Neurospora crassa OR74A: one gene and its partners. The protein of the gene in region 4 purifies or fractionates together with the protein of the main gene of each other region. This does not show direct contact. Links are inferred from orthologs where the notes say so. Each region holds a gene or a part of one and is shown on either strand. Other genes may lie near its edges.

Region 1 (4,123 bases), on a different chromosome or scaffold from region 4:
CAGTCAACTCCTCGGCCACGTTCTTCTGCCTAACTGTCGTCTTTACGGCGGCTGAAGTGGTGGCAGTAACTCTGTCGTTGAAACCGCTGAACTCGTTTCGCAACTCCCTCATGCTAATGGGGTTCTTCTGCGAATCCCAAATGCTGCGGCCGCTTTCCCAGAGACCGGCGTTGTGGATCTTCTCGGTGAAGTGTTTGTTGACGTGCTCCTCCAGCTCCTTCTCGTCCACGATGAAGTTCTTGGACGCCACGTACAGCTGGACGACGGCGTCCCGGCGCGCCTCGCTCTTCATCGCCTCCTTCTCTGCATGTTTAATACGCGCCTCCTCGGCCTTGACGAAAGCCTCTGGGTCCAGGGGTACGAATGTGTTCTTGGCCGTGCTCTCGCGAATCGTCGCGCGCGTGAACACCTCGTCCAGACGCTCCGGCGCCTGGGCCGCCCGCTTGTTCGCCAAGTAGCGCGCCTTGCTCTCCTTCGCCTGCTTCTGGTCGCGCTTCACCTTGCGCTGCCAGAGTCCCTGCAGACCGGCCTCGAGTGACTGGCGCCGGGCCTCGGCCATCTTGCGACGCCACGACTCTTGTTTCGACTTGGGCGGCAGACCAGCCAGCTCGGCGGCGGACTTGGGAGCGATACGATTGACATAGCCGGATTGGACCTTCTCCGGGACGCCCTTCTTTGGGAAAATGGAGCGGGGGATCGGGAGGTGGCCCTTGACGAAAGGGTGCCTAACCTCGGAAGACTGCGGCGGCTCGGGGACCTTGATGTAGTTGGGCGAATCGGGGGGGATGGAGACCGAGTCTCTAGCCGATCGGGTGGTGCTGAAAGATCGGGCGGCGATGGCGCGTGTTACTACGCTGGTGGCAGCGCATGTTGTGGTCGGGGAAGAAAGGATAAATTGCACGCCGCTGAGCGACGGCCTGGCAAGAGTTGGCGCCATTTTTGAGGTGGAGGGTTGGCTGAAGACGGGGTGAGCGGGATGGGGTCGGAGTTGGGAGACTTCTGGCCGGGCCGTGCTATGCGGAGGTTTCGTGCGACGGAGGGAACGGACCAGGCGGGTGCAGCGGCCTCTCGCTCTCCTAGGTAGGTAGGTTCGGCTCGGGATCGTGGGACACGCCGCGGTACGAGGGGGCTTTCAACTCCGTCGAAATTCTGAAAGCTCGGGGAGGCCAGAACGGCGCTAGAGTGCTCTTGGTGCTACTAGCTTTGCTGGTCGCGGGCGTTCTGCCGTCGTACACCGCTAAACTTTTTGTGCATGGGGACCTTTGCGCGGCCTCCACACCCCGCCCAAAAAAAAAACTGACAAAACTTTCGCCGGGACCAGTCGCAGAGTTGCATTTCCTCCTTCTCATTCCTTCCTCGCTTCCCTCTCTTCTTTTCTTCTTCCCCAGTCCATTCATCCTCTCGATTCTCACGCAACACCCTCTGCCGATATCTGATACCCCATAGCCTCGTTTCTAGCCTTTTACCCATTCTTCCCTATTTTCGTGTGCTTCTTCTTTCAAGTCAATCTCAAACCCCCCGATCTACGGATACCCCCAGCCGCTCTCGCAGGCGAGAACGAAATTCTTCCACATCTGCATCCTCTACCCACCAACCTACTCGGTAATCTGGCATTGAGTGATATCTGCCAAAATGGGAACAGGAAAGAAGGAAAAGTCTCGCATTCAGCGACAGGGCAAGGTGACGGGTGATCCAAAGGTCAAGGGCGAGAACTTCTACCGGAGCGCAAAGAAGATCAAGGCCTTGAACGTGCTGAAGGAGGGAAAGGCCATTCGCAACAAGGAGGGCAAGGTCGTCAAGGCCGCGTCGTATCAGAGCAGAGATGTTCCCACAGCCGTCATCGAGCCGAACCGGAGATGGTTCAACAACACCAGAGTCATTTCGCAAGATACGTTGACATCTTTCCGGGAGGCGATTGCCGAGAAGGACAAGGATCCTTACTGTACGTTCAACTCTTCCGTCACTTGTCCGGCCGACCAAGACTAACGCACCTTGTCTTGTAGCGGTGCTGTTGAAAAGCAACAAGCTCCCCATGAGCTTGATCAGAGATGGACCCAAGGATGCGTTGAAGAAGCACCAAGCCAAGATGACGATTGAGAGCGAGCCGTTTTCACAGACCTTTGGCCCCAAGGCCCAAAGGAAGAGGCCAAAACTCAGCTTCAACACGATCGGTGACTTGACAGAACACAGCGAGAAGAGCATGGATACATACCAGGCCAGACTCGAGGAGATCAAGCTTCTAAGTGGTGCTTCTGGATATGGCGGTGGTCTTGCCGATGACGATGTTCAAGAGGAGGATTTCAGTGTCGCGACGGCCAAGGAGGCTATCTTCACAAAGGGCCAGTCGAAGCGTATTTGGAACGAACTGTGTAAGTCCTTCTGTGTTTGGGGACTTGTGACTTCGGGTTGCTAACCATCACATAGACAAGGTCATTGATTCGTCAGATGTCATCCTGCACGTTATCGATGCCAGAGATCCTCTGGGAACCAGGTGTCGTCACGTTGAGAAATACCTTGCCACTGAGGCTCCTCACAAGCATCTTATTTTCGTGCTGAACAAGATCGATCTTGTTCCTTCCAAGACTGCTGTAAGTGTAGACCATTATTTGCTTTCACTCCTTCTGCTTGAATCTCTTGACTTGCCTCGCGCAAATCCTGAGGTTCCCAGGGATTTTGTCAGGATCTTTCCCGCATTCAGTTGCGCTTCATTGGGATTGGTCTGTTACATCGCTGGGAGATTAATATCCACCTCCCAACCTCTCTGGTCCCGTCTTGGGATTGGGGATTTGATGGACTCCGTTTTGGAGGACTTCACGGGATACCGGACGTGTTTCGTTTGAGTTGAATTCCACCCTGCCTTTGAGCAGACTCTACCATGGTGGTCTTCTTAGTTATGATTCACACATTTCTTCACATTATACATATATGTTATATTCAGTAACGAGTTGAGGACTAACTGAAAACAATAGGCCGCGTGGATTCGCGTTCTGCAGAAGGATCATCCTACATGTGCTATGAGATCTAGCATCAAGAACCCCTTCGGTCGTGGTTCTTTGATCGATCTTCTCAGACAGTTCAGTATCCTGCACAAGGACAGGAAACAGATCAGCGTCGGTCTTGTTGGCTACCCCAACGTCGGCAAGTCGAGTATCATCAATGCCCTTCGTGGGAAGCCCGTTGCTAAGGTCGCCCCTATTCCCGGAGAGACCAAGGTCTGGCAGTACGTCACCTTGATGAGGAGGATCTACCTCATCGACTGCCCTGGCATTGTTCCTCCCAACCAGAACGATACGCCACAGGATCTCCTGCTCCGTGGTGTTGTACGTGTGGAAAACGTCGATAACCCGGAGCAATACATCCCTGCGGTATTGAACAAGGTCAAACCTCACCACATGGAGAGGACATATGAGCTCAAGGGCTGGAAGGACCATATTCATTTCCTTGAGATGCTTGCTAGGAAGGGCGGCAGACTTCTCAAGGGTGGTGAGCCTGACGTTGATGGCGTTGCGAAGATGGTTCTCAATGACTTCATGCGAGGCAAGATTCCTTGGTTCACGCCTGCCCCCGAAAAGGAGGAGGGTGAGACTGATACCATGGAGGGTCGCGAAGGACGCTACGGTGAAATGTCCAAGAAGCGGAAACGTGACGAGGACGACAGCGCGCCTGCTACCACTCCCGCTTCAGCAGGAGAGGATGCCAAGGAGGAAGACCCTGAGAACTTTGCCGGGTTCGACAGTGACAGCGACTCTGAGGTCGAAGAGGCTGCTGAGGAGAAGGGTGAGGAGAAGAGCACTGCTGAAGATATGATACCCCTGGACGCGTCGAGCGATGAGGAAGAGGATGGCGAGGAGGAGGGCTCTGACGTCGAAGATGACGAGGAAGGATCCGACCTCGACATCGAAGGAGCCAGCGAACTCGAAGAGTCTGAGTCAGAAGCCGAGGCTGCGCCAGCACCTCCCCCGAAGAAGCAAAGGAGGAGCAGGAAGTAAACTCGGTCAGTGAACGCGATGGGCGGCTGGGGTGAACCGAGCATGCGTTCAATAGCCGACCTCAGGGTTGGTAACGATCCAATCGGATCATGACGGCCGGTGTCACTGATAATAAACTGTTGAGGACTTGGGCA
Region 2 (4,019 bases), on a different chromosome or scaffold from region 4:
GCCTACAGCAAAGAATTAGATAATTTTGGCGAACGTGATAGAGGGCTTACGATTTGTCTAACGGTCCTAAACCGTGAGTTTCTGGACCTCTTCCACGGGGACGTCATCATCGCCTTCCAGGTCCTCATCACCCTTCCCAGCCAAGCCCCTCTCCCAGAGTTGTTTGCCCGTGAGCTTGACAGGCTCCTTTATCCTTGCCTTCTTCATCTCGGCCGCCTTTTCCTCTTCCTCCTTGATTCTCTGATCTTCCAGTTCCTGCAAGAAACTCTCCCTCCACTTCAAAAAGGTTTCGCGATTGACGGGAGTGCCCTGGAACTTCTTGTTCTCTTCGCGCTCCGCGGCAAGGGCGGCCTCCTCTTGCGCCTTGATGGCAGCGTCCCTCCGCTCTACTGCCAGTTGCTCCGCAGCATCCTTCAACGCCGACACAACAGTAAAGATCATGGCCATCCCCAAATTCTCTTCAATTGTCTCTTGGATACCTTCGAGCAGCTGGAACCGATCGTCGGCAATGTTTATGTACTGATGGGGCGGCGCATTTGGGGCGGACGCAAGCTCAAGGAAAGGTGGCTTGTCGGGATAGTCTTCGGGGTACCGTACGGTAAGTACCATGCTTGGTGTTTCTTCGGCATCATCATCAGGAATGTCCAGCGTGATAGTAATCCGGTATTCGGTATCGGAGATATCTAGACGAGTCGAGCTTGGGTTAGGACAGGCCCATGCCTGAACGGCAACCGATGTGGGCGAACAATCGAACCTTGGATCTCATCTGGGAAGATGGAGTCGAGGACTTCCCTCTCTTCAATTTGTTCTTCGCGGCCCATGATGTCCAATCGGTAGGGCGCCTTTCAAGTTTGCAGTGTGCTGGACGACATAAAACGTGAAAGACTCCTTCCAAAAGTGGGTGCTGGCAATGTTGACTTTCAGGCGTTTACTAACCTAGAGAAGAGGACGGGAGGGGCAACCAGACGGCATTGCAGTGACTGTAGCGTCAGGTGCAGGCCAAACTCCAAAACGCGAGCGCGGCTCAATCTATGGTGGGGGTCCTGCCTGGGTTCCTTGTTATATCAATGGACAGTTCTAGACAGTGTCGATCAAGTCGCCCCACCACAGAACCCCGGAAAGCTTCTCACCGCCCGGCAGATGCCAGGATGCGGATCCAGAAATTTTCAGCGGAAAACGTGCTACAGAATTTCCAATTCAGAGGCTTCAGATACAGGGCACTCCAAAGTTTCGGATTCCCGTCTGAATACCTGCACTTTCACATATTCCTGCTCGACCATCACCTTTGAACCAGCGCCCACCCAGTACGACGTCAACACGAGCCCCCCATACCTAGATCAATCCTTCATATCCCGGAGCAACACAGACATCGCATAGCATCAATGGCGACCAAGTCGTCTTCAGCAGCCGCTGCCGGCGGAAAGAGAAAGGCGTTCGGCAAGCATAACGAGGATGGCCGTACAAAAGCAGTAAAGACCACTTCTGGCAAGAAACACATCAAGGCCGAAGCCGAAGACAATGAATCCTCCGATGAAAGCTCAGACGCCGAGTTCCACACAGGAGAGACCACAACATCCACGCCCAATGAGTCCGGCAATGGCTCCAACGAGACCAAGTCTGGTACGTTGTCTCTCTTTACCATATCTGCCCCATGATGACCGAACCTCGCTCTGTTATTTGACTAACACAACGCAGGCACAAGCTCCAGGGAGGCGCACGCCAAGCAAAAACAACTCGCCCAAGAACGCAAGAACGCGAAGCCACTGGCCGATGAGGTGCACCGTACCAAGAAGCTGTGGGAGAAGCTCCGTCGCAAGTCGCATGTGCCTAAGGAGGAGCGCCAACAGCTCGTTGAGGAGTTGTTCACCATCATAACTGGCCGCATCAAGGACTTTGTCCTAAAGCACGATGCTGTCCGTGCCGTCCAGACCGCCGTCAAGTACGCCACCCCGGTTCAGCGTAGGCAGATTGCGAAGGAACTTCAAGGAACCTATGCGCAGCTCGCCGAGAGCAGGTATGCCAAGTTCCTGATCGGCAAGCTTCTGGTGCAGAACGACAAGGAGATCCGCGACATCATCGTCCCCGAGTTTTACGGCAAAGTTCGCAAGCTCATCAACCATGCTGAGGGTTCCTGGATTCTGGACGATGTCTACCGCGGTGTTGCGACCAAGGAGCAAAAGGCCAACCTCCTTCGCGAGTGGTACGGTCCCGAGTTTGCTCTGTTTAGGCAACCCAAGGGTACCGAGGTCACTGGCGATCTCTCCAAGATTTTGGCTGACGAGCCCAGCAAGAGGACAACGGCGATGAAGTACCTTTTTGACATGGCCAATGGCCTCATTCAAAAGAAAATGACTGGTTTCACCATGCTCCACGACGCTCTGTTGCAGTACTTCCTCAACCTTAACCCCGAAAGCGAAGAGTTCAAGGAGTTCTTTGAGACTATTAAGGAGGATGAGACCGGCGACTTGCTCAAAAACATGGCATTCACCAAGTCTGGCGCCCGCCTCGTGTGCTTGCTCCTTGCGCACGGAACCGCCAAGGACCGCAAGCAGCTGCTCAAGGCCTACAAGGACACCTACCAGCTCATGAGTGGTGACAATCACGCGCACGCGATCATCCTCGCCGCCTACGATCTCCTTGATGACACTGTCCTCACGTCCAAGACGATCTTCTCCGAGATTCTTGGCAAGAATGAAGAGAAGGATGCCGAGCACGTCATCTTTCTCGCTAACGACCTCAACGCGCGCACGACGGTATTATATCTCTTTGAGGGAATGTCCAAAGCGTTGTTCCCTGCCAGCCACGCCACCGACCTGGAGATTCTGAAGGAGATTCACGAGATCCGCACCAAGACCAGCAAGAAGGACGCCGAGGTTAGGCGTAAGGAGTTGGTGACGGCCATGTCGCCTCAGCTCCTTGCGGCCATCGCAAGCTCACCCGCCGACCTGGTGGCCACCTCTTTCGGTTGCCAGTTTGTTACTGATGTTTTGCTTTCGGCGACTGGAGATAAGAAGGCCGCGTTGGAGGCTATTGCCTCTACTGCCGGTGGCGATCCCAACGCTGAGGCGCCCAAGGATGCCTACCAAGCTCTTCCCCCTCACATCTCGACAACCATTCACGGTGGCCGCATGTTCAAGACACTGATTGCTGGCGGCCGGTTTGACAAGGCCACAGGCAGCATCCAGAAGGTCGACCCCCCGCTCAACTTCGCCGACCTTCTCTATCCCGTCATCAAGGACCACATTGTACAATGGGCCACCGGCCCTAGCTCTTGGACGGTGCTAGCTATGCTCGAGGCTTCCGACTTCTCATCGAAGAAGGAGCTCCTCAAGACCCTCAAGTCCAACAAGAAGGCCCTTATCAAGGCCGCAACTGAAGCACCGGCGTCGAAGAAGGAAGAGATGGAGGAGAAGCCAAAGGCTAAGAAGGGCAAGAATGCTTCTGCCCCCAAGGGCAACCAGGGCTCGAAGCTCCTTTTAGAGAAGCTCGATGCCTAGGTTGAGGAAATTGTAGGCGTCGCATGGCTATAGTGACAAAAGTGGACGGTAGCCACAGGTTGACTAAATACCCCTTTTATGTTGTTTACTTTGTCAATGCGATTTTGTTGGGCCCCGCGTAATTTGCGGTTGACTGATAGCCCTGTTTACAAGTCTGGACATGTTATATATGATTGCATAGAGAAAAGCTTGCTTCCAGACTTCCCTGATGGTTCAGATATGACGCTTGAAACAGGCCGTGGCCTACTTGGAGTGAGGTAAATCATAATTAACCAGACAGGAGCGAGACAACTTTCTTATATTCGCCATTCCGGACCTTGGAAGGCCTTATTATCATACGACCTTCACATTGAACCACTTGTACCACAATTTTCGAGGGACACAACCTCCCCATATCAACATGGCGTGTAGAGGCAAAGTGCTGTGCAAACATTTTGACTGCGGCACCAAGACCGACATATATCGGGTTCACCGTCACTTGATGGCTAAGTGCCGCTTGGAAACCGAATAGAAGAACGGAAC
Region 3 (3,729 bases), about 880 kb from region 4:
CGTAGCCGTATTTTTTGATTTGTGGTTGGAACTTGTTTGTTACGGTGGTGGTGTCGAAGGCAGCCGCGGGTTTGGCCTGTTCGGCCGCCGTCGTGGAGATGGAGTTCCCCGCTATGATGAGGCGGGTGATGTGTGAGAGCTCGTCGCGTTGGACGGAGGGATCGAGCGCTTCGCCGAGGAGATACTCGAGAAGCAGGTTGAGTTCCATGGCGTAGGAGGTGTCGGCGTTGGAGAACTCGAGGCCGGAGACGAGGGCAATCTTTTTAGAGGAGGGCTTGTGGGACTGCCTGGAGAAAGAGGCGTCCATCATTTCGACGTCTTCGGAGGAGTCTGCTTCCTTTTTGCCTTTTGAGAGCGACCAGCGCTCGGGCTGTGGTGGTAGTTCGGCGAAGAGGAGGTCGATGACTTCGAATTCGCCGTTGGCGTTCTCGGTGCCCATTACCGCGACGATGCAGCCGGTCACCATGAAGTGGTTTTGCAGAGCGTTGCCGACAAGACGGATGCGGCCGGAGTCGTCTTCGAGCATTACCGAGTCTTCGCCGTTGCCGGAGTAGTAGTGGCCGACCGAGGTGGGAGCGGAGATCCAGCGCTATAACATCATTGTCAGCTGCCTGGTGTCCACCAAAGGATAGGCTGAAACTCACATCCTTGGAGACATCCTCGAGGATTGAGGGCTTTAGAGGCATGTCCATATATACTGTTCCAGCTACCCAGCATAGTTCTCCCTGGCGAACGTCTAGGACACGCTCGACCCTCTTGACCTTCTCACCACCAAGCACTGTTCCCTCCCAAGCGGCGCTGGCGGCTGCCTCGACGGCGGGCCTGATCTTTGTAAGACGCAAAAAGTAAATATCGGCATATTGTTGTTGATAGGGACGGGTTTTTTCGAGTTTGAAGGTATGAAGGGGCTTGTAGTTGGTGATCTGGCGCTGGAGAGCCTCGGGCGCATCGCCTCTTCGTGAAGTTGGGTTGTTAGCTGATGATCGCCAGTGGAAGATGGATGATCCACTGCTACTCACGAGGGCTTCTGTAGCAAACCGCTACCGAGAACTTCGTCCAAGGTGACCATCGTATGATTGATACTGACAATGGCTCAAGATGTGAGAACGACAAAAGCAATTGGTGACTTATTCATGTGCTGCCCGACTCGGAAACTGACTTCAAGGGACGAAACTCGACGACGCGCTTGACAATTTCGAGACGCGTAGCTCCAGTGGGTTCAATTAAGCCAGGTACATGACCGGTACTACTCTATACTAGTATAGTTTACATAGTAGCGGCGCTTCAGCACTGTGACCCTCACAGGAACCGTCGGCCCCGCTATAAAGTTCCGATAAGATAGGGGAACGTGGGGTAGCTAGAACACTCCAGACCCCTGCGCTGCAAGGCTGGACAGAAAAAATTGGATGGAGTCTTGGATTTGGCATGGCCTTGTGGTGTCCGCTGCAAAGTAAACATCCACACTCTCCTCCCGACGACGCCTGTTTCACGGTAATCTAAGCCAATCTGACTTTTACTTGTCAATTGATAGTATTCAGCCTGCCCATACCGAACAGCGACTACCCAATTCACATAATATCACAGCACAGGCACCGCCATGGACCACCCTACCGAATCAGGCGCCCAGGTCCGGGTGACCTTCACCACCCAGGAGGAGGACATCCAGCTCGATGAGAGCAAGCGCCAGCTCCTTGTCCCCGCCGACATCCGCCGTTATGGCCTCTCCCGTATTCTCAACTCCGAGTCCATGCTCGACACCAACTCGATCCCCTTCGACTTCCTTGTTAACGGCAGCTTCCTCCGCGGCAGTCTTGAAGAGTACCTCAACGCCAACGGCCTCTCGCTCGAAACCAACATCACCCTTCAGTACGTTCGCAGTTTGATCCCACCAACATACGAGGCCAGCTTTGAGCACGACGACTGGGTCAGCGCCGTCGATGTTCTTTCCGCTACTTCTCCCGCGGGCCGCTGGTCCGGCGACAACTTTCAGCGCGGCCAAGATCGCATCCTCTCCGCCTCGTACGACGGTCTCCTCAGGATATGGGACGCCTCTGGAAATGTGATTGGCACCTCGCCCTCGGGCAGCCACGGTGGTCACACTGCCAGCATAAAAGCTGCCAAATTCCTCTCCAGCACTCAGATTGCCTCGGCCGGCATGGACCGCACAGTTCGCGTATGGAAGTACACCGAGTCGGGCGAGTCGTACGAGCGTCGCGGCGAGCTGAAGCCCACTCTCGAACTGTACGGCCACACCTCCTCGATCGACTCGCTCGAGGTTGACGGCGCCTCGAAGCGCATCCTCACTGCCTCCGCCGACGGTTCCATCGGTTTCTGGACCACCTCCAAGGCGTCCGCGCCCGAAGTCTCCGATTCCTCGCTCCTTCCCGGCGCCCACACATCCAAGCGCCGCAAGCTCGCGACCTCCGTCACCGCCGCCCAGCGCGGCCCGCTCGCCCTTATGAACATCCACAATGCGCCCGCCACGGCCGCCGTCTTCGACCCCCGCGACCGCACCGTTGCCTACTCTGTGTCGCAGGACCATACCGTCAAGACCATCGACCTGACCACCTCCAGCGTGGTCAGCACCTTCACAACCTCGCATGCGCTCCTCTCTCTCGCTGCCCTGCCGCGCTCCTCGGCCTCGGCGCCCCTTCTCGCCTGCGGCACCTCCGCCCGACACATTACCCTCGTCGACCCGCGCACCAGCACGGCCGCGACGAGCGTCATGACGCTGCGTGGGCATGCCAACAAGGTGGTCAGTCTGGCGGCGAACCCGGAGAACGAGTACTCACTGGTTTCGGGCTCGCACGACGGGACGTGCCGGATCTGGGATTTGCGGTCGGTCCGGCCAGCGACCAAGGACGAGGGCGGCATGGGCAGCGTCAGCGAGCCCGTGTACGTTATTGATCGCGAGAGCCAGCAGGGCAAGAAGAAGAAGAGCAGTGTGACGGGCGACGGGTGCAAGGTGTTCAGCGTGGTGTGGGATCAGCTGGGCATCTTCAGCGGTGGTGAGGATAAGAAGGTGCAGATTAATAAGGGGAGGGGTGTGAATGCCGAGTAGAGGAAGAAAAATGGTCGGGAAAGAGGGGGTTGTTGATGAAGAGAAGGGAAGCAGCAGAACTTGGTTGTTATGATATACCCAGGATAGATAAAATGGAATGTGAATACTGTACAGGATATTTTTGTGATATCTGCAGGGACGAGGCCAAGAACAGCCGTGACAGATTCTTTCTGAACTAAACTGTACGCGAAAACTGTACTGACCTGGAGCATAGACTAGATGGCTTCTGCAGAGCCCAGTCAGGTTGTTCTGAGGATTATACAAGGTTCATCTACCAACGTCTAAAAGTAGCCAAGTCGGTCTCGGGGTATAGGTGCATCGTCGACATCTTTCCTTTCTTGTTCAGCACTCGACCAGCAGCTTGAGAGCCGGCTCAGTGACTTCTCGACATCTTCCTCAACCTCTCCACCTCTTCCTCATCAACCGTCGCTTGACTGCTGCTATTGCCCAGCGTCAACTCCTCATCAAAGTCCAAATCCCCAGCCTCCAACGCAGCCTTCATCACATCCTCCACGCTCTCTTCCTTCGGCTTTACCTCCACCTCTGCCTGTGTCTCATCTACCTCCTCACCCTCAACCTCCTCTACCTCACCTTCCTGCTCCTGCTCCTGCCCAAAAATCTCATCCAACAACTCCAACTCACTCTTCCCCTTCACCCCCTCCCCATCC
Region 4 (2,814 bases):
GGCGGTTATCATAAGTGGTGTTGCCGTTGTCACTGCCCTCCTGAGAGCTAAACTGTCCGCGCTTGAGATCCATATGGACTGGTTCGATAAAGTCAGGCTGGTAAGCCTTGAACTCGTTAGGGTCTGATACCATGACAAGGGTATAGTCGCCCTCAAGGGTATCGAGCACCAGGCCCAACTGATCGTCTATAGTTGCACAGGTTAGTACGGGGCAATTCAATAGCCGACCCGTGATCCGAACTAGACATACCATTAGAAGCCAGGATTTGCGCCCTATTATCCTTGTGCTCCAAGGAAGGTAGATGCGTGAGGTCAACTTTGACGATACCGGCAACCTTCCCCTTGGCAGCGCAGGCTTCCTTCACATAATCCTCCAACGAATGGGTTGAGAGGTCGCCGACTACCTCCGCAACGCTGAAACGGCCCTTGATTTCCTTGCTTGCGATTGTGTCGCATAGACTGCGCATTTTACAGTGCGAGCCATCGCGGATGTCGGCGGCGTGCACGTTCGGCTGGGAGACGATAACGTAGTCTTTCGTAGGACAAGAGGAAAGGATCTCCTTGGCGGAAGCAATCACTTGATTGCTGGTTTGGAGCTGATCGTATCTTTCGGGTGTATTGAGCCTGGAAATCACGGTTTCGCAAGGGTCAGCATCTTCAGTCGAAGTCACATGCATGAAAGCGCAACTGAGTGGGATGTGGTGCACAAGATCGTGATGGCGCGAGGGCAACTTGAAGGGACACCACCCACGGCGACAATTGGGACATGACGTACCTGGAGGTGGAAAAGAGGACAAATGGTGAAGAGTCCGAGAAGGCATGCACTGCCGTAGAGGCGAGCAGAGTTGTTACTATCGAGAGTTTCATGATTTACAGATTATGCCAAACTGTCTGCGATATTGTCGTCGTCGTCGGTTGTTGTGTTGGATATGCGAATATGGTGTAGTGTACAAACTGGCAGCGTGGTGTAGCTCCAGGATCCAGAGCCCGGGAGCGTGGATGTCACTGCACTGAGAGAGCGCCAGACGTCTGATGCATGGGATTGGGTGCTGGGTGTGACCGGCAGGCTATGGACATCAGAGATAGGCGGTAGAATAGGGCAGAATACGATAAGGCCGCTTCCTGCATGGTGCCCCGTTCGAGTGAACATTTGAACAGGGGGGTGGCTATCAGTAAATTTACAGTTGAACCCAGAGCATCCAGATCGCTGCATCCAAACATCCTTCCCGCCCTTACCTCTACCTCGATTTCTTGTTCCCTTTTCTCCACAAAACCACCAAACGAACTTTCCACTCAAAGTCAACCCTCGAAGCCATTATGGAGAGGGATCCAGCGTTCTTTGTTGCCCCAAGGCCCAAAAAGAGTGGGCTCGCGCCGCCACCCAAGAAACGCAAGATAGTGCACAAGGTCGAGGAAATCACATTCGACAAGGACGCCCGCACCGAATATCTTACCGGTTTCCACAAGCGTAAACAGGCCCGAATCAAGGCTGCGAAGGCGCAAGCAGAGGAAGAGGCACGGCTGGAACGAATTAGGTTGAGAAAGCAGGTACGTACCGGATGACCGCTGTCTTTCTTGGTTGGTTCCATGGCAGTAAGTCTAATCTACGTCGGGTACAGATCAGAGAGGAGCGGCAGAAGAACCTCGAGGAACATATCCAAACAGTGCACAAGCTTCTCCACGAGGCAGAGCGTGCCGGTACCGACGACAAACCCACCGAGAACAAGTCAGACGACGAATGGGATGGGCTATCCGAAGACGATGTGGCGGAAGAGCCTGCGCTTGATGTCGAGGAGGAGTACATCGATGAAGACCGCTATACGACCGTGACAGTAGAAGCCGTCAGCGTAGACAGGGACGGCATCCACAAACCACGGACCTTGAAGGACGAAGAAGATTCCGAGACGGAGAAGAACAACAAGAAGAAGAAGGCGGCTGAAGAGGCGGCGCAGCAGGAAGCCGACAAGAAATCAAAACGAAACTTCCCAGAGAAAAAGAAGAAGAGAAAATTCACATACGAAAGCCGACATGACCGAAACGTCACAGAGAGGAAACAGAGGGCAAAGAAAGCGAAGCGGTCGTGATAGGTTAGATGGCGAAGGAAATAATCTACCGCTATTCCTGACAGCGGTATCCCTTACGATATCTAGATCTTGTTTAAGTACTGTATGTGCAATGCTGGGATGATGGATTATGCTTTGAACTAGTAGGCAATATGAGTTGTACGCGGGAGTTAGATAACGGCTTGCTTTGTCCGTCTTATCTCCCTACTCGACAACCCGAGGACAAACGGCATAAAGGGTCAGGCTGATATTATCGATGCGGTGACGCTGTGAACAAACGTAAAGAAAGGAATTTCCACCATGTTCCGACTGCATCCGTTAACCAACTTAGATGTTGGCAATATCAGCCTGGAACTCTTCCAAGCTCTTCTGTACCTCGGCGTACTTCTTGGCCATCTCTTCGTACTTGGACTCCCACTGGTCGCGCTCGTTCTCGAGGGCCTGAACCTTGCGCTCGAAGTGGCCGGCCTTGACGTCGGTCTGGCGAAGCCTGTTGAAGGAGGAAAACATCATGTTAGTCTAAGGTGTCGCAAAGAAAAGGGGTTCAAGGGCACAGGGGTTAGGACCCTCCCCCATCTCATCGTCCAGGGGTGCGTGTATTTCGATGCAAACGTACTTCTCGTTGGTCTCGCGGAGAGTCTTGTCAGCCTCCTCGGCCTCCTCTTCAAGAAGTTGAAGTCTCCGTGTCAGCGTCTCGTTCTGAGTGCCTTGTTGCGCGCCATCCTCGGCGGCGCTCTTGAATTCCTTAACC
Region 5 (4,121 bases), on a different chromosome or scaffold from region 4:
CACTCCATGAATCGATATGACGATCGTCATCAGACAGCAAAAGATTTTTCACCTCACCAATTAAACTCGCATGAGGCTGAGGGGAAGCTACGGACATGCCTCGGTTTAATGTACAGCCGCCATGGTTCGGCAAGTCTGACCCGACTCGGTGAGACAGAGCTAGAGCAGAAAATAGAAAAGATGAAAAGAAAAGAAAAATGATGCAAAGGTCAGGATGGTCGGCTGAATGGAGGTCGAGGAGGGAAAACAGCTGATGGCCAACTGAAAGTTGGAAATGTCTTGGGAAGGTGCAGTGGAGGAGGCTCATTCTCCAAGTGTTATCACATAACAAATGCGACCGCCTGCTTTTAGATCTCCAAAGAAACTGAAGTAATACCACATTCCACTGTGATCATGATGGGTTTGGTCGACAAAAGTACCCGTTGGTATGGTGGTGGCTTTGTGTCTGCCAGCCGCCATTGAAATCACTTTCACAGCCATAAACTCGTAGATATCCAGAATCGTTTCAACAATAATAATTCTATGCCAAAGCTAACGTGTATACTCTCCAACAACCTACACCTAGAGTCTCGTAGACATAACAAGACAATCCCTTCCGACATCACCCTTTCACCAGCTATTTGATACTTTTGATGCTCTTCTCCAGTTCCTTCACACTCTCCCTCACCTTGGGGCAGTAATGTCTCCTCAACAGCTCGCCCTCCCACACCGTCGACGCGAATGGGTTGCTACCCTCCACTGTCGCCGCAAGTGGCTTATAAGTGCCGTCGCCCTTCCTCTCCTCCGTATTCCAGAGCGAGCTGATCTTCCTGCCGTGCGTGTGGAGCACGTCGGCGAGCAAGCCGAGAAGCGCCTGGGCTGACTTCTCCGGCACCTGGAGCGATCCGGACATGAGCTGCTTCGTGAAGGCGGCCAGACGGAGCGGCGCCACGGAGCGGATGTTCCAGGGCGGCAAGAGGATGCCGCTGAGACACTTGACGAGCAGGACGGTGGTGGTCTGCAAATTGATGCGGTTGTTGCGGCGCACGCTGTTTTGGAGCTGGAGCGACTGGGCGCCGAGTTCAAGATCCGGGTTAACGGAGAGAGAGAGGAGGGACTGGAAGAGGTGGGTGATGAAGAAGGAGAGATCGAGGTGAAGGTCCGAGCGGGCGTTATGGGCGTCTTGGCCCTCGAGAAGAGCAAAGGCGGTGACGGTGCAGAGGAGGGCTTCGCGGCTGGTGTCACGAACGAATTCGTGCTCGTCGTCTTCATCCTCTTCCTCTTCCTTGTTCTCGTCGTCCGACTCGTCCTCCTTGTTGGCGTCCTTTTCACTGTAGCGGATCAGGTCTTTTAGGGCCTCAAGGAGATCACCAAAAAAGTCCTGGTTAATCAGGTGGGAGTATCTGGCGAGACCTTCAAGACAGGCACCCATGAGGTTGGGAATACGCATCTTGAGGATGCGGAAGTACGAGGCGAAAACCATCTTGAGCGTTTCGGACTGCATCCGCTCTCGCTCCTCGTAGCTCACAGCTGCGTCGGCGTGGGCCATGACCTTTTCAGCCTCCTTCTGCTCCTTAAGAAGCTTGCGCTCACGCTTGGTGCGGAACTCCTTCTTCTGCTTCGGCTTCTTGACCGACCCATCGTCCTGCTTCTCCACCGTGTCTCTGGAAGCTTTTCCGGAAAACTCGCTAAGCAAACGCAGGTGGAGGAACAGGTTCAGGATGCTCTCGTCAACCTGGTAGTTACGAGCCTTCATCATCTTTGTGAGTACTGAAATGGCCTCCATGGCGGGTTGACCATCCTCATCCTCGTGAAACAGGGTCTCGAGAGCGGTCCGGCACTTGATAAAGTCTTTATCGATATTTCTGTAGCTCAGCTTCTTGATGAGAATCTTGAGAAGCTCACCGCGGAAGTTGAAGTGCGGTACTGCGTTCAAAAGGGTGCAGGCGCAGGTAAGGGCGATGCTGGAAATGGGCTGCTTGGACTTGTCGCGAATCGATCCACCGGCGAGGGCAGCAAGGGTCTTGATGTATTGGTAGTAGCCGGTCACCATGGCCTGTTCATAGACGCGTAGCCGCTTGACATCCTTGGACAGCTTCTCTTTGGCAACATCCTCCGAAGCCGGTCTTATCCTGTAGCCGGGAATGACATCCTTGTAGACGGTCATCTGGACAACAATGGCGAGCTTCTTGATGGCGAGAAGGTCCGACTCTCCAATCTTGGCGAGCGCCTTGAAAGCACCCGGATGCTCCTCTGGGTCTTCATTGAGCTGCGTTGCGATCTTGGCCATTTCCTCCTGGGCTCTCCTGATCTGTTCACGCTCGGGAATCTTGGGTGCTTCTGGCTCGGGCTGAGCCTCCTCCTCCTCAGGGGCCTCCTCCCCTTCACTCTCCAACCACTCGGCATCGCTCGCAATCTCGGCGTCTTCCTCTTCCTGCGTCACCCAGGTTCCCTCGGCAACTCTGATGGGCAGTTTCGTGGCATCGGCGACCTTCTTCTCCTTCTTCTTCTTTCCTTTCCTGGGGCGGTTCTCATAGTCCTCCTCGAGGTTCCAGCTCTGTGCACTCTTGAAGAACTGCTTTTGAATTTTGACGTCGCTGGTTGCTGCGCCGTCCGAGGACTGGCCTCCCTCGGTCAGCTTCCTCCGCTTGGAAGGATGGGAAGACATGGTGGTGGCTGGTGATGGTCTGTGCAGTTGGAGGGTTGTGAGATGATGTGAAGTGAACCTGAAACACTGAGTGTGGGCGGCTGATCGATGTGTGCTGAAGACAGACTGAAGTGAGACGGGAGCGAGCGGTGTTCTGGAGTGGAGATGGATGGGTATCGATTGTTTGTTCTTCACTGAGATGAGGAACCGCTCAGGAACATTTTCCAAACTTTTTGGACCCTGGCTGCCAAAGCTGGGGGTCTTATCGGCGGGATGTGGTTGGTTTAGCTTTCTTATCGGACCCCACCGCTTGGGGAAAAAAAAGTTGCTGAACCATGAACGGCCATCGATTGACTGCACTTTGAGTTTTGCGGTCGAGTTCAGTTGCTTGCGCTGGAGCTTCGAGTGGCCGCACCTCCTCCTCCAAGTTTGAATTCCCTTTCCTTCCATCCATCCAAATAGGAACCCACCGACGGGGCACTCTCCGAAAACATCAACCTCGTCGCAGCAAAGAGAGACCGCGGCACCTAATCTCTTTCTCGACCACTGTACACACATCCAACCTCCCGTAATCCCAGTCTCTACCCCACGATACACAATCGAGACTGCACTCTTCCCCGTCTCCCACCACGCGCCGAAAGGCCGATCGAATTCCCACTTTGCGACGCGATCGAAATATCGACGTCGACTCTCCTTGACGATAGTACCATACGATAACCATAAAGCCGAATCGTAGAAACCAACACCCAACCATGTCGTCTTTGGCCTCCCAGTTGGCCCAGATCGCTGCCAACTCGCGGTCGACCCTCAACACCAAGGTCCTCAAGGCCGCCCACTCCAAGTCCCTGATCTTCGAGCCCCGCGTTGCCGCTACCCAGACATACCCCGAGATCTACTCGATATGCCTCGAAGGCTTTGAGGAGCTGTGCAACCTTGATTCGCGCTTCACCAAGTTCACCCAGTCGCTATGGAGCCCACAAAGCCAGGAGGCCGACAGGACACAGATGAGCGCCGCTGAGAATGCCGCCCTCGATAAGCATGTCGAGGCCTTCCTCCACCTGTGCGGCAGCAGGTTGCGTCTCATGCCCACCATCAAGGCCATCGAGTGGTTGATCCGCCGGTTCCGCGTTCATGAGTTCAACACGGCTGCTCTCATCGCGACCTTCCTCCCATACCATACCATCCCGGCCTTTGTGACCTTGTTGTCCATCCTGCCCGCCAACATCCCCAAGGAGTACCGCTTCCTCGACCCCTACATCCGCTCTCTGACCGCGCCCCCTCGCGCCGCCATTGTTCAGCAAGCGACGAACCGCCCCGAGCTGCTTACCGCCATCTCCCAGTACACTCTTGACTCTTGCAAGTACCAGATGGAATACCCTGGCCTCATCTCCTTCTGGGGTGGTGTCATGGTTGAAGCCACCAACGGTCTGCTCGACAAGTACCGTTCCGGCAGGAGAAGCATCCAGATCGAGAACGACAACGCTCTCATGCAGCA
Region 6 (4,095 bases), on a different chromosome or scaffold from region 4:
TTCAATGGTTCCAATTGATGATCCGCGGTCAACAAACCTACCGCTAGAGGAAGTGATAATGATAGCTGACTACCCCCCCCCCCCCCCCCCCCCCCCCCCCCAAAACGACACAAAAAACATCAGCAGAGTCCAACTATTTATCACCCAATCCCTCTGATAGCCTCCATAGACATCCGCTTTGAAGTGGCACCAGGAAAGCTTGACATCGTCTTGATTCCGGGACCGGAATCCTTAGCTTGACCTCTAAGAGGGCCCAGCCGCTCTGTCGTGGCTGGCAGGGCATGCGAACAACACCAGTAACAACCAGACGAAAATGACAGACATCCTAAGCGTCTACTCAGCCATCTACCTCTGCGGTGCGGCCGGGATACTCAAAAGCAAGCAAGCCTGTGGACCGCGAGAGTTGCAAGGAGATCTGCGGACGAGATTCGAGGACCAGGACGTTATTCGGGTGGCGGAGAAGTTGAGGTGGGTGGGGGATGGGAATCTTTGGCTTATTCTAGTGGTTTGTTTTCATCCCTTCCTGACTAGGCCCAGAAGACTGGGCCGACATTCGATGAATACTATAGGAGGCGTAACCAACGGCAATGATCTCGTTGCGGCTTACGCGAGGCAGAGCCGTCACTTCCCGGGCCCAGTGGCTAAGTCGGGATTGAAGCTCGTTAAGGTGGATGAGAGGCCGCAGAGATATGAAAATCGAGACAAGATCTAGAGACGATTGCGTTGATGATGGGATGACTGTGGCATGCTGGGTTATCAAGGTGTGCCTGAAGGTTCAGCCAGGGGCTTACCTAATCTTGCTTTGAATCCCTCAGAAATGCTTTCGTTGGTGAATCCTCTCACTCAGGTGGAGTGAACCGTGAGCCTGGGGGACCGATGTGATGTGGGATGGCATCGCCGGGAGACTCCAGACATGTACCTGTGGTGCATGGTGTTCATTCTTATACCTCCCACCTGATGCACTTTGCTCTGGCACCAATGAATCCTGCAGATGGCAAAAGATTGCAGTCCCGCGGCGACCACCTTCAAACCTCGAGTCGGTGATGACGAGTTGCAGTTTGAACATCCCGTCGTCGCAAGGTTCCCATGCCAGCTCTAGGCACATCAAGCGTCCGCGCACGACGTTAGCGCGGAGCTTGTCGAACTCTTCCCCGCTTTTGTTAGCAGACCGGCCTGCATTGACCGACATACCCTTGCTAGCTTGGCTTGGGGAGCGGGAGAGTGGCAGTGAACCGATAAGGAAGTCTTATCGCTACAGTAACAGACAGTACAGACGGTGGGGTGCCGAAATTTTTCTGGATTCCAAGTGCAGTTCGCCTGAACTTTTCCTGTCGACCGCCCTCGTCCTCGATCGCATTTTCTGCCTTTCCCAAGTCAAACTGGTCGCATCCATCTTCAGACTTTTTCTACCCAGCCCATTCATCTTCTTTCAATCTTAGAAGTGTATACTTCCGACGACGACTTCGAGTTCCTGTCTCTTTAGTTTTCTTTAAAATCTAGACTTTTTGATACCCCGGCGCAAAGCACCACCCAATCTTCACAATGGCCCCCCTTATGCCTGTCGCCGTTTTTGGCTTGGAGGTTCCTCCTGGCGAGATCCTCATTCCCGCCGCCTCTGAGTTCCCTGCTATCGTAAGTGCACACTTTTCGGAGCCTTTGGCCCTCTCCTTCGCAGGCAATGGCGCTCCACTGGACTGGGTTACACGGAGCTAACGACATGAATTCCAGATTCACATCACCATGGCCGCCCTCGATCCCACCAAGGCTCCTGAGGCTGACGGCCAAGGCAACATTCCCGCGCTCCCCCGCTCGACCCTGAAGATCATCAAGGCCACTGGCCACGACCATGACGACGATGATGAGGAGGAGGATGAGTACCTCCAGTCCCTCCTCGGCGGCGGCGACTCTGACGACGAGGCCAACGGTGGTCCCAGCGACCCTTCCAAGTCCAAGAAGGCCAAGCAGGAGGCTGCCATCAAGAAGCTTATGGCTGCTACCCAGGAGGAGTCTGATGAGGAGATGGAGGATGCCAAGCCCAACGGCAAGAAGGGCAAGGGCAAGGGCAAGGCCAGCGAGTCCGACGAGGAGGAGAGCGACGAGGAGAGCGACTGCTGCGGCGATGATGACCTCCAGCTTGAGGACTACGTTGTCTGCACCCTTGACACTGAGCGCGTAAGAAGCCCCATCCATTCGGTGAACGTATTTTTGAGTTCTTGGAGCTAACCTGATTCCCCATATACAGAACTACCAGCAGCCCATCAACATCACCATCGGCGAGGGTGAGAAGGTCTTCTTCTGTGTCCAGGGTACCCACTCTGTCTATCTCACCGGTAACTTCGTTGTTCCCGAGGATGACGAGGAGGACAGCGAGGATGATGAGGATGAGTCCGACGACGAGGATTACGACTTTCCCCTTGGTGGCGAGGATGACGATTCCGACGATATGAGCGACGAGCTCGACGAGCTCGATGGCACCCCCCGTGTCAAGGAGATCACCTCGGAAGACGAGGAGGAGGAGGCTCCCAAGCTTGTCGACACCAGCAAGAAGGGCAAGAAGCGCCCCGCCGAGGACGATGCCGAGGGTCTCGATGCCATGATCTCCAAGGACGACAAGAAGCTCAGCAAGAAGCAACAGAAGAAGCAGAAGGTTGAGGAGGCCAAGAAGGAGGAGCCTAAGAAGGAGACCAAGTCCGACAAGAAGGTCCAGTTCGCCAAGAACCTCGAGCAGGGCCCTACTGGCCCTGCCAAGGACAAGCTTGAGAACAAGAAGCCTACCTCTACCGTCAAGGTTGTCCAGGGCGTCACCATTGATGACAGGAAGGTTGGCACCGGCCGTGCCGCCAAGAACGGTGACCGTGTTGGCATGCGCTACATCGGAAAGCTCCAGAACGGCAAGGTCTTCGACTGTAAGTCTCACTTTTCCATCACTCTCACAGTATTGACTAGAGACTAATATTCAATACAGCCAACAAGAAGGGTGCCCCGTTCTCTTTCAAGCTCGGCAAGGGTGAGGTGATCAAGGGTTGGGACATCGGTGTTGCTGGCATGGCTGTCGGTGGTGAGCGTCGTCTCACCATCCCCGCGCACCTTGCCTACGGCAGCCGTGCCCTTCCCGGCATCCCCCCCAACAGCACTTTGATCTTCGACGTCAAGCTCCTTGAGATCAAGTAGATTGTGACGTTTCGAAGCGTGGGGTAGGAAGGCTTTGGCTAGCGTCGCGATTTCTATGGCGGTTGTCATCCACAACCTTTCGTGTTCTATGGCTAGCAAGTCTTGGGATTTCTTTGGTCAGCACATATTTCCTTGCGCTCATGTTGGGTTTGGTCAAGGAAGTGGGAATGTCATTTCAACAGCATAATGTCAAAAGTATTGGGTCTGGATTTCTTTCTGTACTTTGGGTTGTACATCGTTCATGGGGCACGATCTATTCTATATTGCGTCTATCAATTGCAAAGGCGCAACATTTCTACGTTACCTACACTCGACTCGGACTTGGCAAACTTGGATGTTTCGAGATGTCGAGGAAAGTGTCTTTGATTGACGGACGGTAATAACTTCCAGGAAAGCGTGACAGTTGGCTACAAACACTGGCTTTCTTCAGAATTGAAGTCGTACCTGCCCTGTCTGTGCCTCAAGAGGTCAGTGTTGTTGACCTGGGGCAAGGGAGGCACATCTAATGGGTAGGTAGTTCAGGTGATGCATAGGTATGGAGCTACCTTACTCCGAGTCGTCCTCTCTCACTGCACCTTGTCGTATTTCAACACACTGACAAAGTCCATCCACGTCTTCCCACCTCCCCGCTCTGCTTCCATCTCTCAATAGGTATCGTCATTGTATCTTTCACTATCATCATAGCCGCCGCGACTCCCGACTGCCGCCAAACTAGGCATTGTGCGTTACGATCGACCAACTTAGACGCCGCAGCGGTTTCTACCATTCAATGGACAGGACCGAGCTTGAGACATGAAGAGGAGCTCTTCCCAAACATCAAGTCATTTGGGTACCGCCATCCCGGTTTATCGTCCCACTAAGCCTGACGACTGCTCGCCTAGGTCGTCTCTCGCTTCTTCTTCACCCAGTCAAGGTGCCCATCGC
Region 7 (3,836 bases), on a different chromosome or scaffold from region 4:
TGTAGGCGGACTGTTCGGTCTTCGAGGTACATGGTCTTTTTCCCCCCCGTAAAGTTAGCCAAAGGCTCTCATCTTGTTCTACTAGTTCTTGGGTCTTTGCAACTGTCGCGCATTGTCTGTCTGGGAAGGAAGGGCGGTAAAGAATTGAATGGGAGACGGGGGTCGAACATGCCTTGGAAAGGAAATCGATACCAATGGTGGCTTGGTACATGTTATCGAACGAGTCGTACATGAAGCGTGTGATGAGCGACGTCTTGCCGACTGTTTGCGCGCAATCGTTGAGTTAGCATTGGTGTCTCGGAGAACATCGTGGAGAAAGTGTTGTAGGTTGAGGTAATCGCATACCGCTTTGTTCGCCCAAGAAGACCAACCTGGCGAGGAGAAAGAGTGGTTAGCATCTTGTCTTGTTTTGTCTTCCATTTGACTTAAGTGCATTGTCTGCAAAAGTGTCGGGTATGTTGTCTTACTTGAATTTCTTCAAGGGGTTGTTGTATGACCCGCCTGCTTGCGCCATTGTGATGGATGTGTTTGCGGATTAACGGTATTTGGCGGGGTAGGTAGGTAGGTAGGTAGGTAGGTAGCTGAAGGTATTCGGAAACACGATCAAGGGGAGGAAGCTTTCGGACTTTGGAGGAGGTGGTGGTGGTTAAGTGGCAGAAAGCTTAGTAGTGTAGGCGGTCGGAGTTGGTCTAGAGTTAGATAGGTGTCTGCTGGTCGTCGAAGTGGAAGATGGACGGCGGCGGAGAGTTGCCGGAGACTGATCATGCAGCGTTGAGTGGTCTCAGTGGTGCGACGGACGGGGCGTGGTGGCCGGGGGGTGGATGACAAGGGAGCTTGGAGGACAATCGGGTCGGTGTTTGGGATCCAGTCGGGGTCTCGTTGCCGACTTGGTTGCTGGGGTCTTTGCAGTCCGTCGAGTCTTCGTTTACCAAACAAAAATCGGGTCGAGAGATCGTTTTATAAGAGTTGATACCACAGAGAGCAGAAAATACTTGAACATTTAATATTTTGTTTGGATACAGATTAATTGATTGACCGACATTCCGTATGTACGTATGTACAAGTTTACATGTTTTTATCCATTGTTTATGCATAACCTCAAGTTCGAACAACAAAGTGTTTCTTGCGACTATTATTCAGTCTTCTTCCCCGAAGCGGACTCATGCGAGAGAAAGGGGACCGCGCCAAGCGATCAGTGGAGGGAAACAGTGGCCGCCCGCCGCCTTTCTGCGCCCAGACAAATTCGACACTTCACTTGACCAAAACGACCGAGACCGGGCATCCAATGGAAGCTTGGCGGCCGTCATTGGATTTGTCCAGAGGCCGAGGCAGCTTGGAAGTCTGATTGGCTAATTGCTCCAACTGCCAGCTGAGCACGGCTGGGGAAGGGAACTGAAGCGCTGGACGCTTGTGTTCCATGAAGTTGCTCTTCCCTGTCCTGTCTCGGGCAGGTCTTTCTTATCTTATCGCTGCCTCCTGTCGCCGCTGAAATTTTGAGTTGCACACCCCACTGGGCAGTCGGATTGATTGCAGAGGAGACCCCAGAATTCCAGGCGGTTTCGAGGTATCAATATTTCCAATTTCTTATCTGCCTCGAACCTCCGCCGACTCGTTTGATTTCTTCGAGTCGTCAACCCAACAACACAACACACCATCACATCACATATCCAAAATGCCCGTCCTAAAACCCTTGTCGGGCAATCCCGAAGCCCCCAAGCAATACAACCAACCGTCGAGAAAGGGCAAGAAGGCGTGGAGGAAGAATGTCGACGTGACAGAGGTCGAGCAGGGTCTCGATGAGTTGAACGCCCAGATTATCAAGGGGTACGGCGCTCCTTCTGTGATGCTTTGTATTACCAAAGACACCAATTGGTTAACATGAATTATCGTATAACAGTGGTGTCATTGCCGAGAAGACCTCCGAAGAACTCTTCGCCATCGACGTCAAGCCCGACACCGAAATCACCAAGAAGCTCCCCAAGCAACTCAAGAAGCCCTTGAAGGCCGACGAGATCCTCGCCCAGCGCTCCGCCGTTCCCGCCGTCTCCCTCAAGAAGCGCCCGGCTTCTGAAACCTCCGGCAAGGTCACCGACGGCGTCCTGCCCTCCAAGCGCCTGCGGGCCACCTACGTCACCCAAAAGGAGCTCAGTCGCCTGAAGCGCGTTGCCGACGGCCACCACACCACCACGGTTGAGGTCGTTGACGCCACCTTTGACGCCTGGGCCGACCCAGAGGAAGAGCAGAAAAAGAAGCAGCAGGCCGCGGAAACGTTCAACTTTTTGCCCAAGGTCGAGAAGCCCAAGGCGCCCAAGACGCTCACACAACAACCCATCTCCCTCGCCGCCACCGGCAAGCAGCTCCCCGCCGTTCCCAAGCCCAAGGGCGACAAGTCGTACAACCCCGCCTTCACCGACTACTCGGAGCGCTACCAGGAGGAGCTGCGCAAGGCCGAGGAGGCCGAACGGAAGCGGCTGGAGGAACTCGAGAAGGAGCGTCTCAAGGCCGAAGCGGCCGCCAAGTCGCGCGCCGAGGCCGAGGCCGCCGAGAAGCGCGCCGAGCTGTCGGAATGGGAGGATGATTCCGCCTGGGAAGGGGCCGAGAGCGACGCGGAAGGGTTGGCCAACAAGAAGAAGCGGCCGGAGCGCAAGACGCAAGCCCAGCGCAACAAGATCAAGCGCCGCAAGGCCGAGGAGCAGCGTCTGAAGCACGAGGCGGCCATCAAGAAGAGGGAGGCCGAGGCCGCGCGGGTCAAGCAGATTGCCAAGGAACTGGCCGAGAAGGAGAGGCAGCTTGCTCTCCAAAAAGCCGAATCCAACAATGTCGAAGAGGACGATGCTAGCCTTGAAGAAGATGACGACGTCGAGCTGCGCCGTAGGCAACTAGGCAAGTTCAAGTTGCCCGAGAAGGATCTGGAGCTGGTCTTGCCGGATGAGCTGCAGGATTCGCTGAGGTTGCTCAAGCCGGAGGGTAACTTGTTGAAAGACAGGTACAGGAATATGTTGCTTAGAGGCAAGGTGGAGGCGAGGAGGCACATTCCCTTCAAAAAGCAGGCCAAGACAAAGGTCACGGAGAAGTGGACTTTCAAGGATTTCAATCTGGCTTGAAGCGGCTCGGCTGGGTTTAAGTTTTGGGGCTTTACGGACATATACATATTCGGATTTGTTTGGTAATTGTTTTTCCTTCTACAAAATATTCCCTTTTGGTTTTTGTTAGTAGTACGTTTGTCATGTGTATATTGGCGTTTACGGTTTTCTCACTTGGTCTTCAGTGCAATAAAAGGTTGGAACATTCAAAGTGGTCCTATGCTCGCGTTTTTGTCTTTCAAGTCTTGTAGTGAGATGACATTACATGAATGTCTTCACACTCGCCCATTAACACACCAGAACATACGTAGTGACGGGATATTACTTGTTATTCGCATTATCTACAACCAAAAACCCTAACTGGATATCTTTTCCCACCACCCTACCAAATCACACACTCACCACGCTTCCCCAACTCCTAGTCTGTCTATTACATTACTACCTTGTCTCTCCTCTCTTCCCACTCTTACCCCTTCCCATCCCATCCCCCCTTTCCATTCGGAGCTAGGCACCCCTCACACCACACTCCCTCACAACAACAAATCCCCCTGAGCCCCATTCATCCCTCCCATGCCATTCATCCCCCCCATCCCCGGCTGGTACGCCGAGCTCTGACTGACCACGTACCCCTGTCCATACCCATAATGTCCCGCATCCCCACCAAAACTGTCGCCGGGCTGCTGTATCTGCATCTGCCTCATCTGCTGCGCAAAGTACGCATCCGCATCATTGACCGCCGCCTGCTGGTTCGCT

Evidence for each region.
Region 1: the proteins of NCU01203 (region 4) and NCU02546 purify together in Saccharomyces cerevisiae (affinity purification with mass spectrometry; 3 studies listed by BioGRID). This does not show direct contact. The link is inferred for Neurospora crassa OR74A from reciprocal best matches to the Saccharomyces cerevisiae genes RRP17 and NOG2.
Region 2: the proteins of NCU01203 (region 4) and NCU09380 purify together in Saccharomyces cerevisiae (affinity purification with mass spectrometry; 3 studies listed by BioGRID, with this or other methods). This does not show direct contact. The link is inferred for Neurospora crassa OR74A from reciprocal best matches to the Saccharomyces cerevisiae genes RRP17 and PUF6.
Region 3: the proteins of NCU01203 (region 4) and NCU03764 purify together in Saccharomyces cerevisiae (affinity purification with mass spectrometry; 3 studies listed by BioGRID). This does not show direct contact. The link is inferred for Neurospora crassa OR74A from reciprocal best matches to the Saccharomyces cerevisiae genes RRP17 and YTM1.
Region 5: the proteins of NCU01203 (region 4) and NCU00337 purify together in Saccharomyces cerevisiae (affinity purification with mass spectrometry, with the first as the bait; 3 studies listed by BioGRID). This does not show direct contact. The link is inferred for Neurospora crassa OR74A from reciprocal best matches to the Saccharomyces cerevisiae genes RRP17 and NOC3.
Region 6: the proteins of NCU01203 (region 4) and fkr-4 purify together in Saccharomyces cerevisiae (affinity purification with mass spectrometry; 3 studies listed by BioGRID). This does not show direct contact. The link is inferred for Neurospora crassa OR74A from reciprocal best matches to the Saccharomyces cerevisiae genes RRP17 and FPR3.
Region 7: the proteins of NCU01203 (region 4) and NCU05233 purify together in Saccharomyces cerevisiae (affinity purification with mass spectrometry, with the first as the bait; 3 studies listed by BioGRID). This does not show direct contact. The link is inferred for Neurospora crassa OR74A from reciprocal best matches to the Saccharomyces cerevisiae genes RRP17 and NOP53.

The regions. Positions count from the first base shown.
Region 1 is NC_026501.1:2,685,186-2,689,308, forward strand, and holds the start of NCU02546 (nucleolar GTP-binding protein 2), read left to right. Parts: upstream 1-1,300; 5' UTR 1,301-1,632; coding exon 1,633-1,942; intron 1,943-2,003; coding exon 2,004-2,369; intron 2,370-2,424; coding exon 2,425-2,588; intron 2,589-2,969; coding exon 2,970-3,989; 3' UTR 3,990-4,123. Other genes in the region: NCU02545 (hypothetical protein), read right to left, coding at 1-937. UniProt on the Saccharomyces cerevisiae protein: GTPase that associates with pre-60S ribosomal subunits in the nucleolus and is required for their nuclear export and maturation.
Region 2 is NC_026501.1:3,514,803-3,518,821, forward strand, and holds NCU09380 (pumilio domain-containing protein), read left to right. Parts: upstream 1-1,207; 5' UTR 1,208-1,382; coding exon 1,383-1,620; intron 1,621-1,695; coding exon 1,696-3,497; 3' UTR 3,498-3,723; downstream 3,724-4,019. Other genes in the region: NCU09381 (RWD domain-containing protein), read right to left, coding at 67-683, 755-821. UniProt on the Saccharomyces cerevisiae protein: RNA-binding protein involved in post-transcriptional regulation. Component of the ASH1 mRNP which transports the ASH1 mRNA to the distal tip of the bud, where the ASH1 protein is translated and targeted to the daughter cell nucleus.
Region 3 is NC_026505.1:2,340,033-2,343,761, forward strand, and holds NCU03764 (microtubule associated protein), read left to right. Parts: upstream 1-1,403; 5' UTR 1,404-1,597; coding exon 1,598-3,061; 3' UTR 3,062-3,176; downstream 3,177-3,729. Other genes in the region: NCU03763 (DNA polymerase delta subunit 2), read right to left, coding at 1-589, 645-954, 1,020-1,069; NCU03765 (3'-5' exonuclease/helicase), read right to left, coding at 3,435-3,729. UniProt on the Saccharomyces cerevisiae protein: Component of the NOP7 complex, which is required for maturation of the 25S and 5.8S ribosomal RNAs and formation of the 60S ribosome.
Region 4 is NC_026505.1:3,224,176-3,226,989, forward strand, and holds NCU01203 (hypothetical protein), read left to right. Parts: upstream 1-1,197; 5' UTR 1,198-1,317; coding exon 1,318-1,548; intron 1,549-1,619; coding exon 1,620-2,084; 3' UTR 2,085-2,285; downstream 2,286-2,814. Other genes in the region: NCU01202 (hypothetical protein), read right to left, coding at 1-186, 251-624, 776-867; tpm (tropomyosin), read right to left, coding at 2,391-2,553, 2,680-2,814. UniProt on the Saccharomyces cerevisiae protein: Essential protein involved in ribosomal RNA processing.
Region 5 is NC_026503.1:3,495,501-3,499,621, reverse strand, and holds NCU00337 (nuclear export protein Noc3), read right to left. Parts: upstream 2,813-4,121; 5' UTR 2,648-2,812; coding exon 617-2,647; 3' UTR 487-616; downstream 1-486. Other genes in the region: NCU00336 (U3 small nucleolar RNA-associated protein 10), read left to right, coding at 3,379-4,121. UniProt on the Saccharomyces cerevisiae protein: Required for synthesis of 60S ribosomal subunits and the transport of pre-ribosomes from the nucleoplasm to the cytoplasm. Also required for initiation of DNA replication.
Region 6 is NC_026501.1:5,029,352-5,033,446, forward strand, and holds fkr-4 (FK506-binding protein 4), read left to right. Parts: upstream 1-1,283; 5' UTR 1,284-1,542; coding exon 1,543-1,632; intron 1,633-1,728; coding exon 1,729-2,172; intron 2,173-2,242; coding exon 2,243-2,906; intron 2,907-2,965; coding exon 2,966-3,171; 3' UTR 3,172-3,811; downstream 3,812-4,095. Other genes in the region: NCU16390 (hypothetical protein), read left to right, coding at 314-468, 532-712. UniProt on the Saccharomyces cerevisiae protein: Proline isomerase that belongs to an abundant class of enzymes that catalyze the cis-trans isomerization of X-Pro peptide bonds and can accelerate the refolding of proline-containing polypeptides. Specifically binds nuclear localization sequences.
Region 7 is NC_026504.1:5,668,367-5,672,202, forward strand, and holds NCU05233 (60S ribosome subunit biogenesis protein NOP53), read left to right. Parts: upstream 1-1,440; 5' UTR 1,441-1,672; coding exon 1,673-1,824; intron 1,825-1,897; coding exon 1,898-3,104; 3' UTR 3,105-3,291; downstream 3,292-3,836. Other genes in the region: NCU05234 (GTP-binding protein ryh1), read right to left, coding at 1-35, 173-261, 346-371, 468-514; NCU05232 (AP-2 complex subunit beta), read right to left, coding at 3,614-3,836. UniProt on the Saccharomyces cerevisiae protein: Late-acting factor in the nuclear maturation of 60S ribosomal subunits, which is required for normal acquisition of export competence. Required for the export of the large subunit.